Rhinolophus ferrumequinum: one gene and its partner. The protein of the gene in region 2 purifies or fractionates together with the protein of the main gene of each other region. This does not show direct contact. Links are inferred from orthologs where the notes say so. Each region holds a gene or a part of one and is shown on either strand. Other genes may lie near its edges.

Evidence for each region.
Region 1: the proteins of ZMYND8 (region 2) and HDAC2 purify together in Homo sapiens (affinity purification with mass spectrometry; 4 studies listed by BioGRID and IntAct, with this or other methods). This does not show direct contact. The link is inferred for Rhinolophus ferrumequinum from reciprocal best matches to the Homo sapiens genes ZMYND8 and HDAC2.

Annotation. Positions count from the first base shown.
Region 1 is NC_046286.1:65,450,343-65,457,514, reverse strand, and holds the start of HDAC2 (histone deacetylase 2), read left to right. Parts: upstream 1-4,162; 5' UTR 4,163-4,446; coding exon 4,447-4,498; intron 4,499-7,172. UniProt on the Homo sapiens protein: Histone deacetylase that catalyzes the deacetylation of lysine residues on the N-terminal part of the core histones (H2A, H2B, H3 and H4).
Region 2 is NC_046306.1:11,178,612-11,186,536, reverse strand, and holds the start of ZMYND8 (protein kinase C-binding protein 1), read right to left. Parts: upstream 3,011-7,925; 5' UTR 2,962-3,010; coding exon of another isoform or gene 2,922-2,961; coding exon 2,903-2,921; intron 2,730-2,902; coding exon 2,594-2,729; intron 2,262-2,593; coding exon 2,193-2,261; intron 1-2,192. UniProt on the Homo sapiens protein: Chromatin reader that recognizes dual histone modifications such as histone H3.1 dimethylated at 'Lys-36' and histone H4 acetylated at 'Lys-16' (H3.1K36me2-H4K16ac) and histone H3 methylated at 'Lys-4' and histone H4 acetylated at 'Lys-14' (H3K4me1-H3K14ac).

The DNA.
Region 1 (7,172 bases), on a different chromosome or scaffold from region 2:
GATCAGATTGTTTGGAACAAAAGACATAAAGTACTTCTGCTCTCAGGAAATTCAGAAACCCATGGAGAGTTGTGTCCCAACAGACACCTGTAGTCTCTTAGTAAACATTATCAGAAGCCACTAACTTCTAATTCAGATCTTACAGAAGTTAGGATTGTATTCAGCTGCATATAACAAAATCCTGACTGTAGTGGTTTAACCAAATGTACTGTCTGTTTTGGTTTGTTTGTTTGTTTCCTGAATAAAACCAGAAGTCCAGAGGTGGGCAGTCAGGTTTGGTACAGATATAAAGGAGGTCTTCAAGGAACATGCTCCCTATCCTCCTGTTCCACCATTCCTGTTATTTGGCATTCCTGTTGATGGCCCCAACATACTCCACCTCCATTTGCACAGTTCTGGTGCTCAGTGGAGAGGAGTGATTACTAGATTTAGTAATCACTAAATTTAAAAAATTTTTTTTAGTAAGGAAAGTTTAAAAATTGAGATAGGAAAGAAGTATTAAGATACATATATAGGATGATTAGGAAACACCAGTAAGTTAAGTTTTCCCAGACACAGTGTGCGTATAGAATTTTACTAAAAAGTGGGTACACGGAGATGGATTGAATCAAAGTAATACTACAAGGGTCACGGGCAAAGCATTTATCAATTAACAAGCTAACCAGGGCAACTTGAAAAGTTCAATGTAAATGAGTAATTTAGTAGATGAGCTGTGATTCAAAAATATTTTTTAACGAAAATGGGTGATTTTTATTACACAAATGCAGTTAAAATAGCACTAGAATCTTCACAGTTTGGTGCTACTATCCAGATTTAGGAGTTACAGCTTGTAATAAATACTGCGCAAAAATAGGCACAATTCTTCTGAGATCAGAATTCAGCTCAAGGCTGTTGTAGTTTGTGACAACACTGTACTGTTAGCTACTACACTTCTCTACATTATGTATTGCCTTGTGGAATTGCTAAATAGAACTTAACACCAAGAAATCTAAATTTCTTTAGAGTAGAAAGAAGCTTATAATTCTTTTATAGCAACTAAAACTTGACCTATCTGCTGCAGTTGATAGCAGGGTTTAATTTTTCGCGTAAGCTGAGACAATCCGTTTCTAAATACAGTCATGCACCCCATAACAATGTTTTGGTCAACGAAGGACCACATATATGACGGTAGTCCCGTAAGATTATATGGAGCAGAGAAATTCCTATTGCCTAGTGATGTTGTAGTGCAATGCATTACTCATGCGTTTGTAGTGAGGCTGCTGTCAACACACCTACCGCATTGCCAGTCACATCAAAGTATAGCACATACAACTACCTAGTCCCTAATCCTTGTTAATGATGATGATGAATGACTGTTACTTGTTTTTGTGTTTACTTGTGTACTTTTAATCATTATTTTAGAGTGTACTCTTTCTACTTATTAAAAAATTTTCTATAAAACAATATGCCAAGTTATGCTGGCAGCAGCTTTCATACATCTCATGTTTACCGCGTCTCTTGATTGCATCATTTCTCTTGTGCTTGATTTAATCTCCTGTCGTTTTCTACAATAACATGCTGTACAGGCTTGTATCCTAGGAGCAATAGGCTATACCATGGAGCCTAGGTGTGTGGTAGGCCATACCATCCAGGTTTGTGTAAGTGTACGCTAGGATGTTCCCACACCACGGAATTGCCTAATGGCTCATGTCTCAGACCCTATCCCCATTGCTAAGTGGTACATGACTATAGTCCTATTTCTAAATAATCCATTTATGTTTAACGGATCATTTCACTGAATAACCTCAGAAAAACTAAACATCTTCAAGGTTGGGAAAATAAGTTCATATGGACAGAGCAAGAACTAAAGAAAAAAAGTTTAAGAATAAAGACAATCCTCAATTATGCATTTTATGAATGGACCACGCTATCACTTTGTTTTCTTCTGTATATTGTCTAAAACTCCCTTTTTTTTAAATGGTAAAAATGTTTAAGAGAGAAGAGTTTGAAAATGGTAAATGAAGTTCGGAGCTTGTCAATAGGTTCAATAACTGATTCTACTTTTGATGACCTAAAGGTCATTATAGATGTTTAGGGACATAATGCTTGTGGCCTGCTCTTATCACTGGATTAAACTCCTCCAATGCCAGCTTCCAATGGTAAAATGCTTCTTTTGATTTAAAATTATTAAATAATAAACAATATAATAAGTTCCTCAACCAATCAAAATATGTGTCCAGGTTCTTCTCACAAGTAAAAGGTTAGGTGCTGTGGATGCAAACAATAATTATTACTACCATTATTATTAGTAATCATAATAATCTCATATTCATAGCTCTTTATTTCTTAAAACTATTCCATATTTATTTTCTTATTTAAACTATTCAATATGTATAAAATAAACCATTCTCCAAGTAATACTGCCCTATTTTACAAGTAAGGCAATTCAGAAAAAAAAGTTTAAGTAACTTGCCCCCAGTCATAGACACTAGAGATACAATTCTGTGCAAGACAGACATGTTTCCTCCTCTCCTGAAACTCTAGTCTAATGAGAACATTAAGAGAAGTTTTGGGCAACTATAACATGGTAAATGTTGAAGTAGAGGGGTACAAGTCACAACTACAATGTTAGGGGCACAGAAAACAGACTTGGGGGAAGGAGTAAAGTCAGCTCCCTGACTCAGCTTCACTTTCTTCACTTTCTTGAGTGAAGTCTCATTTCAGACTTCACTAAGTTGATTCTGAGAAGAACATTAGTTTCTACTAAATTAACCTATTCTATTCTTAGAATCTACCAAGCTGATTTGGGACTTGATACAATAGCAAAACTTTAAAAGTCAATACCATGCAATTAACTCTACTACCTCTAAGCTGATGTTTCTCACACTGTGCTTCCGGTACCAACTGCATCAGTTACCTGCGATGTGCTGTTTAAAATACAGAATTGCGGGGAGGGGAGGAGGATTACGGTAGATTTCGTTTCCTAAATGTCTTCAGGGTGAGGTCCAGGAAAACTGCTGTTTTAATGTGACCACGTTGGGGATTTTGAAGTCAAATAGTAAAATAAAGGGGTATCTTGGGTGGTGGCTCCAAATGGTTCCCACTTCAATAAGGCCTTTTTTCTTTTAATGAGGGTGTTGGAGAGAGTGTGCATTTGGAGAAAATTGTAAATGATATAGTTGGGATAAGAGTGCTTACATGGCAGACTGTCAGACCCCCACTCCTTATCTGAAAGGTGGTTGGCTTAGAGTAGCTGCTTGATAAATGTTGACTTGTTGAACACAGGGACACAGATATTCATAACTTTTCCAATCTTTTCTCTTAGCTTTCTGCCTCAGACTTCCAGTGCCCAGCCAGCAGCACTATAGTGGAGTAGCTAAAGTATGTGGATTTGGGAGAAAAACTGAATTCAAACCCCAGATCATCAACAGTTGAGACCACCAAGTTCCTCAATCCGTACGTATAAAGGAATAGAAATATGTCTCTGCGTTGTTGCAAGTCTCAAATGACTTAACAGGTTATTTATTATAAATAGGAATCAATTAAATACATTATAAATGCAATGGTTAGACCCGAGCCTAACACATAAGCGAGTTCCATAAATGCTCCTTCAAACCCAGGAAGTACACTATACTCCTTGACGTCTGTGATACGTAGGTTCCCTTAACAGGTCAGAACCTCAGTGCAATTATTGGTACAAAAAAAAAAAAACCACAAATAATAAATGAACAAAAAGAAAACCGAGGTGACCCAGTACAGAAGGGCCGTGGGGGACAGACTGGAGGGTCGTGGATTCCGGAAGGGTACCAAAGTGGTCTCTCCCCGCCTGGCTTACAGCACGTGGTCGGTAAGGGCGGGAGCTTCGCGACAGTGGGGGATGGGAGCGGCAAGAGACAACTCGAAAGGGGTCTGGGCGGCCAAGGCTTCGGTTGGGGAGGCGCCGACTGCGCAGGCTCAGGATAGGCGCAACCACTGTGCGAAGATCTGAAGGAGGGAGCGTTCCCCCACTCCAAGTTCCTTTTATCTACTTGAGCGAAACCCTTCCCTTTTTTTTCACTTTACAACTGTATTTTCCACCACCCTCTGAAAGTTGTTCACCAACAGAAGGGCTTTTATCCAAAGACTGAAGAGCGTTCTTTCCCTAGTTTTGCCCCTTCCTCCCCGCCGCGGAAGACAACAGTGGACACGTCCCACCTCCCCTCCGCGTCCGGAGGTGGTTTGACTTACCCCTCCCCCTCCCCAGTGTCGCGAGTTGGCGCCGCTGCCACCCCTGCTCCGCGCTTTCGGCCCTTCGGCCGGGCGGTACCGAGCCCTCGTGGCGCCCCCTTGTCTCCTCCCTCCGGCCTGCCCTTCCCCGCGGGACTGCCAGCCCCCACCTTCGCCCCAGTCCTTTTTTTCTCCCCGCCGAGTCGCGGCGGCAGCAGCAGGAGGAGCCGGAGCCCGGAGGCGGCGGTGGCCGGGGAGCCCATGGCGTACAGTCAGGGAGGCGGCAAGAAGAAAGTCTGCTACTACTACGATGGTGAGAGGCCGGGCCGGCGGGAGGGTGGGCGGGCAGGGCTGGGGCGCCAGGCCTGGAACCACGCCGGGCTCTCAGGCCGCCGTCGCGAGTGGGCGCCAGTGCTGAGGGGTGGGAAGGAGGAGGGACCGATGTTTGGCCGCATCTTAACCCGTTGCCGACCCGACGCTGTTAGTGGGAGCCCCTCCGCCGCTAGCGGCCCCGGGGGACTCCGCGGCGGTAGCCAGGTGGACGCCCCACTTTTACCTCCTGCCCCTCTCTTCAGCAGTGCAGTCCGCCGCCTCTGCGTCGGCCTACCCCAGCTTCATGGTGGTAGCGACGGGGACCGCCCTCCCTGGCGTCTCTCACTCCCGCCACTCTTGGGAGAGGACATTAGGGGGTGTCCTGCTTCGGCCTCCTGCACCCGACCCCTCCCCCCAGGTCGAAATATCTACCCCGGCCCAGGCTCCACACAAAGCCCGGCGGCCGCGAGAGCTCCGCCTCTTCAGTCCCCTGTGCTTCCCACCCCCATCCGCGCTGCTTTCTACCTCCCGCAGCCCCCCCGAGTCTGCTAGTCCTCGTGCCTTCTGCGTCCTCCGCCTCCAGCCTCACCCCGGACCCCTCGATCCGGGTCAGTGCTGCAAAGTAGTTACTGAGGGTGGTGGCCCACGTCCGGGTGAGGACACCCACTGGTGTTTTGCATGGGCTCCATCCCTCTCCTTTGTTCGCCGGGTTCTTTGAGCGCCACTTTCTCAGCATTCAAATGAAAAGGCTTCACTTCCTCAATAAAAATTAGGGTTTTCGAGTTTGAGGCAGTCTACGCGGGAAATACGACGTTGGTAGGGAAAGGTGGAGTTGTTTCTGCTTGTTTTGTTGATCAGACTCGATGGGTCTTGGCTTGCCTCTGAGAGGTGGTTACCACCCACTTCTTTGTTACTCTTTGTTCGATCAGGAAATACCACCCTGCTTTGGAGGTTTAGGAGAGCATTGGCATCTTGCTTGTGAAAACTGTTTCTAGGTGGTGGCAGTCCTGGTGTAGGAAAACTTTGAATAGTGCAGAAGTTCTAAATAATCAGGTAAGCTTGAGCTCACGTTACATATAGTAAGTAATAAAAGTCATTTTAATTTTAGGGGTGTTTTTAATTTGGAGTTGGAACAGTAACATTAAATCTCTGAATCCTGTTTCCTGAGCCAGCCTAAATGAGACTAAATCGAGTAGTCGCCTGTTCTACAGATTTCAAAAAGACATTAATATGGTAAAATGGTTATTAGTAGGTTACTCTCCAGAGAAGGAATTCTAAAATTTAACAAAGCTAGGCTTCACGACCTGAAAGTCCTGTCTAATTTGTCTGAAGCAGTACAAAATTTGGAAGCTGTTTCTTACTTATAGGTGTATTATAAATTACAACATCTTAGGTGGAAAGACCTTAGGGGACTGAGTCAGAATAAATTTGACTTTAATTTGAAAACGGCCATACTATATCAGTTCAGTTAGCAAGGATGAATCTTTTAATGCCTGTTTTTTAAATAAAATAACCACCTGTATCATTTACGGAAAAATGTAAAATCTTAACAGAAGAAATCCAAATTATCTGACTTTTTGGAAGCCAGTCCAAAATAGTAACAGCCATGTTTTAAAAATATTTTTTGAGAGGACCCCATTTATGTGTAATACAGATTGGTTTGAAATTATGCCATCGTGGAGGAGTGGAAAATGGGATTACATTTTAACATTATTAAAGTTTCTTATAATTCATTCTTTAATACTTCATGCATATTTTGGGTCACTTGTAAAACACTGGTCTTTGAATTCCTTCATCAAATTGGAAAGTAAATAACCAGGTATGTAAGTTAATTTTTAAAACTTGTTTCAAAGATTTAAAGATTGGTTCTTGTTGGAGCTTGGGGTAAAAGAGAAAGTTATAAAAAGGTTGGGGTAACTAGTGCTAAGACTCTTCCTGAAGCTGTTAGTTGCTGTTGACTCTGATAGGCTCTGATGAAGTAAGCTGTTTGTAACTTCTTGTCACCAAACTTGAACTGTAGAAAGAGGTACACTTAAGTAGCAGTTAAGTGTACAGCTGCCCATTTTTGGACACATTTATGATGAGCCTTTGTTGAGGGAATGGGAGCAAGCACTGGTCCCAAGGGCAGGATGCAGGATTGATAGGTAGAGTGGAAATAATTCAAGCCTGGTGATTGTGACTTAATACTTTATTGTAGACCATTCAACTGCTTTACTTGATGGCCAACAACAGGTGTATAACTGAATGTTTGGAAATTAATGATTAGGTTTACTGTCTTTAGTCTATGGTTCTTCCTTGGCTCATTTGTAGAATGGAATTTGCAGTTGCTTATATTTGGAATATTTGGGTTGCTGGGAGGACTAATAAAATATTTTGCAGAGATTATTAAATTGAATAGGCATCATGCTAATTATTAATATGTGATAGTATGCTAAGCTCTGCACATTTAATTACGAAAGTTTACATTTTTATTACCAAAACAACTATTTTGTCAACTTATGTATAAAAGTAGCAGTAATGGTATCTTTCTTTTTTTAATTGTGAAGAAAGAGGATGCAAGTAAAGCAGCTTCTGCACCAGAGAATTCTGTGACTCGAAGGTATATAACATGAATTAGATTGGGAGTGCGTAGTATCAGTAGTAATAGGGCCCAAATAATTTGCTAGGCTAAATTA
Region 2 (7,925 bases):
TGAAAAGAAAAGGGGTTACAGGAAAGAAAGAAAAGAAAAAGAAGCTATTGTTTTCATCCCTAATTTGTAATCTAAGATGCCCCATTGTTTCCTTCTTTCTGACTCAAATCTGTGGGTCGTTAATTATAAAAAGTAACTGGAAGGGGCTCCAACAGGCTACCCATGTGCACGCACAGCAAGTAGAAAAACTCTGTAGAAAGTTTACGGAGTGATTACGTATAATTAATTCCTAGTTATAGTCGGGAACACTGACCATTTTCTGGAGCTAATAAAAGCAGTCACTAACCCTTCCCCCTCGTGAATGCCATTTAATTTCCCAAAGCAGAAAGTGAATCCATCCTGGAGGGTCTTGAAGGAAAAAAAAAGGGGGGGGGGCAGATCAAAAGCTCCAGTGTGTCTGTGTTTGTTCCTTGCAGCTGTGCATCCTCTTTGGGGACTGAGGAGATAGAAGGAAAAAGGGAAACAACCCAGTGTCCCGTTCCTCCCTCTGCAATTTGCAAACGTGGCAGAGAGAGAACCTTCTACCTTGATAGAAAAAAAAAAAGAGAGTGGGGGAGGGGCGATGCCCTAGGAATGGAATGCAGGAAACTCTTCAGCTTGGAGGATCTGCTTTTCCTAAAAGGAACAAAGATGGCAGAAATTTCCAGAAGGCCCGGTCTGAGTCCGGCCACTGCAATTGTCAATCTGTAACCTTTCTCCTCCAAGTCTATTGGTTCAAAATCTGGAAGAGAGGAAGCCCATTGGGCTTGCTCTGTGAGCCAGCACTGCTGTCCCTACCTAGTCCTGCTGCAATGCAGACATTTATTTTTCCCCCTTAGTGAAAACTGGAAAATAATGCGACTTTGAAAGCAATTAACTTTTTACAGACTCATGCTTAGTGGTGGCCACAGTCCCCAAGGAAAAGGGCTAGGTTGGTCCAGGGCTAGGAACCTGCTGGAGCTGCACATCTGAAAACAGATCTTGGCTTTGCAAACCTGTGGGAGCCATTTTAATGCAAGCTTTTAGAGGACAAATGCCTTGCCCTTCAGTTTCCTTCCAGCCCAACAAACACACCATTATGCAAACATTGAAGGCACCAAACCAGGAGTCTTGTGATTAGATATTGCTTCTGAGGAGGCCACAAGAACCTCAATATGTAATTTCCATTTACAGCCAGGAGATAGGAACAAAGAAAATAGCTAAGTGTCTGAACTTACTTGTGTGGGGCACAAGTGTTTTAAGTATATAAAACATCATTAACTGCCTGCCCTTTTACTCTAAGACACTGGCCCTACACAGACTTTTCTCGAATTTGGTACCTTTATCATTATTAAATGAGCCTTTTTCCCATTGGTGCTAAAAGGTGGGTAGATAGTCACTAAAAGAAGAAAAAAAAGATTATTGACTCCATAAAGTTGGCATAACACAGCAACTGCATCTATTTCCAGCATTTACAGTCATGCTGGATTGTTCTCCAGACTGAAATTGATGCAGTGAACTTCTAGGGAAATTCTGAAGCTAACACTAAACAAGAGTCCACTTTTTTTCATTCTTAAGTCCTAACTGCAGCATTAAGAGATCAGGGGAAATGTAAAAAGTGAGAAATAAATCATTAGTAAAGGCAAGCGTGCATACAGACGTGTGTGGGTCTGCCTTGGAAAAAGGCCGAAATCTGTTGTTCAGTGAGTCCTAAATCAAACCAAGTTTGCTGCTGGTGGGTGGGATTTTGCAATCCATGTCAGTATCCCAAAACCTAAGTACTGACACCACCACCCCCACACACCACCACCACCACCACCACCACCACCACCACCACCACAACCACCAGCTCCTGCCCCACCACGGCTTAAGGTTCTGTGATTCTAAGACCAAGCACTTTCTTACATTTCACAAGCAGATCACCTACCCAGAGTTCTAATATCCAAACAAACCCAATTAAAGGTCTCCAGTCAAGTCACAACGAACTGCACATTTCTCCCCTGTCTGAGGGTTAACAGGAAGTGTAATCTTCAATCCTAGCTGCAGGTTCTCAGGAAAAACAGTTGATTCACACAGTCACCTAAAATCAAGACACTATTAAAAAGCCCTTATTTGGTTCCTGCTAAGGAAAAGCCCTCCACGGCTGTAGCCAAGACCCCCTGTTACAAACAGGCCCCAAATGTTCACCAAACTCTTTATACATGGTCACAGAGGAAATGGATCGCTTTACTTACCCAACATGTTCAAGCAACCGTCTCATTTTTCCACAGTTAAGAAGAGAGAACAGGCTGGCAGATTTGGGACTTGATCAAAAAGGAAATTTTTTTAAACAGTTACATGGGATTATTAAAAACACACACAACAACAACACAACAACTGAATAGGGAATGCTGTCATGAGCCACACACATGATTTTATTTCCTCTGCACTCTATCACACAGGAGGGCAGAAGATGATACAATGTAAAAAAAAAAGGGGGGGGAAAGGAAAAAGAAAACAAGGATAAAAGATACATTAGTTCATTGAAAATCATGCAAGAATAGAAAGCTAAGGGATTCAAAGAGTCCTCACAGATTTATTGCAGGATGTTGTCCAACATCCCACCCCCCACGCCCCCCTCAATCCCCATCCCTACTCCAAAAACTTCCTCCAAAGCCTAGAAAACACTTTCAGAAACATTTGCTGGCTGTAGGCTGGCTTGCAGAAGAACATTCTGTAGCAACAGAAGTCAGGAAAAAAGGCTGAACAATGTAGTTTCAAGTGAAGAAACCCTGTTGGGAGAAAAAAGACCATGTAGAGACACCACCACCCACCTAGGCCCCAAGAGCTAGGAGCTCTCCTTAGCACTGCTCTGCTGAGGGCTTGGTTCTGTTTAAAACACACGTCCTCTCTGGTCAGAACTTAGTCCAGCCTTCCCAGAACCTCTTTGGAGAGGAAAACTTGCCTGCTTTGCTGTCTGCCATGAGCTCTCCTTAGAGAGGAGCCTGCTTGCTCACCTTCCATTTTCTTCCCCCAGCAGGCATGTGACACAAGAGAAGACAATAGTGCAGGGGGGGAAACTGCTCAGAGAGAGAGAGAGAGAGAAAGAGAGAGGAGGAAAAAAAAAAAAAAAAACCTTCTTTTTTGGCATACCAGGATCTAGCTTCAAACTATTCCAGAAACACCATGTCCTGGTGGAAGAAAAGGTGTGCCAGGCCCTTGCCAGTTTGCAAAATCAGGCTATGGCTAATGGCTACTTAGCCATGTGACCCAAGAAAGCAAAAAAATTCTCTCTAAACAGTTCCAAGTTAACCTAAGTGCTGTGGGGGTGAGTGTGGCACAGCCAGCCACAGAGAAATCACACTGCTCGCCCACAATTCGGATGTCTCAGAGGGAGGGGGAGAAAAGATGGTTAAAAAGTCGAGCTTACCTCTGTGGATGCATTGTTAACACTGTGTAATGTCAATACTTATAAAACATGGAGGACAGGCTCCTAGTTCTCACAGAAAAAGGGTTTGGCACTTCGGCTTGATGATCTGGCCGCCTAATAAGAGCTCATCCCCGATTGGCTGGCCCGGCAAATCGGAGTGTAAGGCGGCCCGGGATTGGCTGAAACACTTCCTGAGCGATTATCTTTGTGAGGCTCTGGTGAGCAAGAGCCATCCTGTGCATAGAAAAAGACAGGCTAAGCTAGGCCTTTTGCAGCAAGAAAAACTTGGGAAAGGGGCCCCCACACGCACTTCTCCCACACCCTGGCTAGATTTCCCTGTACGGGCAAACCAGTGCAGCCAGCCTGACCTGCCCCAGCAAAGCCTGAGGCCTGGATGCCACTGGGAAGAGAGTTTTTGGGGTGAGCTGAAAGGGCTCACCCTCACCTGCCCCCACAGAAGCGGCTCTCGGCTAGGAGGAAGGCTGGCCCTTTTCTAGAACAATCCAGTCGATGGTCCCCCCCGGAGGGTGGGGGGAGAAACTGAGGAGGGGGAGCGTCAGGAAAAGAGCCAAGGGGGCAGGAGAAAGGAGCTTGGGGCAGGCCTTTCAGGAGTTGGGGGCAAACAGGACAGGCAAGCCCCCCAAAATCGCTAAAGAGCAGCTGTGGCTTCTCCGAGGACAGAGGATTCAGGCTGCTTAGGGGAGGAGGGGAACAGAGTGGTCAAGTTTGCATAGTCATTGTCAAAATGCCTCCTGGAAAAGCAGGCCAGAGAGCCATTTTCCCCGCAGAGAATACATCCTCTCACCCACCCCCTTCAGCCAGTACTCAAAGGAAAACCAAAATGGGTTCCTGCCTCCCTGCCAGGATGCCAGGGGGTGGGGGGGCCCTCTCAGTCCTTACCCTAAGAAAAGCCAAGTGCACTCCTAGCAGGCCACATGCCTAGATCTACAAACTTCCCTTCCCCTCCCGGCCCCCTCCCCCACTGCTGAGGCCTGCTAAACCTGTCAGTTAAACAAAAATCTGACTTCCGTATTAGTCTGCGATGCCTTCAGCTTCCTGCCCATTAACCCTCTCTCGGACTCTGGGCCTGGCTGGGAAAGACTAGGCCCTGAGATCGCAGAAAAGGCCTGTGGAAAAATACCAGCTGCAGCTCTCCCGGCAGATGCAGAAAGAGAGAGAGTGAGCCGCTGTCTCTCGCCTTTGCTTCCCAAGGAGGCGTGTACCTTCTGAATCCAGGGCACAGGCAGTGCCTCTCAGTCTGAGAAGCCATTTAAATCCAGAGGGAGAAAGAAAGATGTCAAACTCAACGAGGAAACAAGAACCCCCATTATTAGTCAGGCCTACACCCACTGCTTAGCCCTTCCTGTCACAATCATGCCTGTATGTATGTACTTGGGGAGCTGGGCCCTCGGTGGGCAGACAAATCTCATGAGCTTTAAAAGGATTCTTGCTTAAATTTATTTCCACAGAGTACTGCTTCTTTTCGTCCCCTAAGGCAGATGGAACAGCTATTTCACACACAGCTCTACACTTGGCAGCCCCCCACACCCCTATCTCTGGCACTGCTCCCCAGTAAAATATTAACTAGTTTTTCAGAACGGCTTATAATTTCACCCATTTCAATAGTATGAGGAGGTCTTTGCCTGTTTCCTCCCGAAAGCTGCCTTTGTAGTTGGTCTGTACCCTGAGAAAGAAAAAGCAAATCCAAAAGGCTCTCCGAATGTCCATAGTTGATTTTTCTTTTTCCTTTTTTTTTTTTTTAAAGACAAGCTGCTTAATTAAGATTTTTTTTAAAACAGCAAGCTGGAACAACAGAAGCTAAATAAACACCATTCTTTAGAGGTTGGAGAAAGCTTCCAGAGGTGAGGCAGCCATATGCCAGGAGGTAAAAAACTATGGCCCAATAAAGTCTTCCCTTCCTCCTAAAATTAGGACCCGTGGGCTTTCTCGTCCCACACCATTCATTCGTTCCCACAAAGAAAACATGGAGCTGATGGCCTGCTCTCCCCCCACCCCACATGGACAACAGATGCCCACCCCCTCTGCATGTACATAAATTCTTCCTGGCTGGGAATCTTCCATCAAACAGGAACAAGCCAGGAATCCACACACACTGTACTGCTGGGGCTGGGCCGGCGCTTTATGAAAAGGGAGGGGACCTTGTTGCTGCTGTATTTTAGGCTGAAGAGGCCAAGATGAAGAGACACCTCCACCTCCACGGCCACAGCACCAGCACTCAGGACAACAGGCCTCACCAGAAGGGAGGGACCGCCTCTTCCTGTGGGTGGAAGCCTGTAGAGGGAGACCAAGTAGGGGACAAGAGGCAAGGCCAGACCTAATCAGACAGGTCTCCCTCCACCACCATCCCATAAGGAATATTGTTTGTCTCCCCAGGTGCTGCTTTTGCGGGAACAGACATGACTGAGTCTGTGACGGAATTTGCGTGCAGCTAACTTCACGACCCAATGAGGAAATGAAATACGCCACGGGTCGCGTGGTGGATTTTAACCCGGGATTAAAACGGGTTGCATAAGCAGCTGCAGCATTCTCCCCCTCCCTCCCGCCCTCTCTCTGATCACTTGATCACTTGAAATGTTTTCTGGGGCAAAGAGCAGGAAGCTGCAAGCTTATTCTGGCAGCTCTGCTCTGTTGGAGGAATGCTGTTGGCATTCGGGTAGGTCTGAGGTTATCTGGAAAACAGAAATTCGGCTGGGGACAGAGACAAAGGTATGGTGGCAGATGGAATCCTGGGAGGAACATGGATCGAAAAGGAAGCCGAGAGCAGGCCCACTACGGGCCACTCCTGGGCTTGATGGAATGTGGCTGATAAGAGGGAATAAAGAAGCCCAACGTTGCTGACCTCAATCTAGAGCTCAAGTCAGTGGCCCTTCTCAAAACTTCCCCCTGCACAGAATAGTCCCACTACTGCATGCTCACCGTGGAACAGGCACTATGCTACATCAGCGCTTTGCACAAGCTGACTTCATCAGGAGATAGGGAGCATTGTTAGAGACCTGGAACTGAGCCCAGAGAGGGGAAGTGAGCTGTCCAAGGTCACACAGCTGGCAAGTGCCAGACACCAGACTTCCAACCCAGTTATGACTCCACATCTTTAAACCCTGTACCTTCACTTGCCTCTAAAGGAGGAAACAAAAGAGAAGCGTGATCTGTGTTTTCCTTTTAGGTGGTCAATTCCTTTGAGAAAGAGCTTTAAGTCCTGAATGATGGAGCTGGGAGAATTTTAAATTAGACTCATTCCAAGGCCCAGAGAAAGCTCCTCTCTCCCTGCAAACCTCCAGCAAGAGGTCGGGGGGAAACTTTCTCTAAAATCAGGTTTTTTTATATTCCTTGAAATCTGTGGTTCTTAACCAGGTTCAAAACCAGGTGGTTTTGCCCCCCAGGGCCTCTGTGGCAGTGTATGGAGAACTTTGGGTTGTCACAATTTGGGGAAAAGGTGCTACTGGCATCTAGTGGGTGGAGACCTGGGAGGTTGCTAAACATCCTACCCTACAGTGCACAGCACAGACACCACACACACAGAGACACACACGACCGCCGCAACAGAGAATTATTTGACCCAAACCGTCCCTTTGTCCCAAGGTAGGGAAACCTTGGCTCAGATGAACAGGAAGAAGAAGAAAAAATCCAACCACTGTGCCTCTCTGGATAGAAAAGCCAGCACAGGCCTAAACAAGCAGGTTCCCTGGTGATATTAATAAGCAATGAGCTAATAATAAAAATAGATTAAAACATGTCTCTCTTAATATTCCCAGGGGACGGAGAAAATTGGGGGACAGAATGAGGCTGAAAGAAGCCCGGCAGAAAGTCACGGTGATAAAGCTGGTCTCCAAGGAGAGGGAGGGCTGGCCCCAGCTCCCTTCCCCAGGCACCTTAACCAGCCGAGGCCTGGCCTCGACGAAATGGCTCTCCACTCCGGTTGGCCTGCAGCCAGGAGAGCAGCAGCGGGCGCGGCCTCGGCAAGCTGCGTCCCGAGATAGCCTGTTCGGCTGCCTATGAAAATAAGCACACTTGGAGTTATCTGCCTGAAGCGAGCAGCAGGCCTCTTGGTCCGTTATGTGAAACGGACAGGATTGAGGCAGGGACGTGTTTTAAATATCTTGTTTTGTTCCTTTTTGGCCAATTGGAACGGAGGCCAACTTCAGGCATGGTGACAGAAGGGCTCACCTTCAGAGCATGCAGTCATGTTCCGGCCACAGACAGGCATGAGGACTCCCTCCCTTGGAGATGTGTCCTAGGGAAGGTCTTTCTTTCTTTCTTTCTTTCTTTTTTTCCACTTCTTTCTAGGAGGGACTGGCAGGATTAGGCAAATGGAGGGCAGTGGGGGATGGTACGTGACCATCAGGCAGATGGGCCCAGTGTGGGTGGGGAGAGATGTAAGAGGTGCAGGAAGAAAATGAAAATCAAAAGGAAGATGATTCAAACCTCTGCTTCCTTGCTCTTTTTACTCCCCAGCAATTACCATTATGGAAAGAAGAACACATATTCATTTGCTCTGTTTGTTTCTCTCTCCCACTAGACCAGTGGCCATATCTGGAGA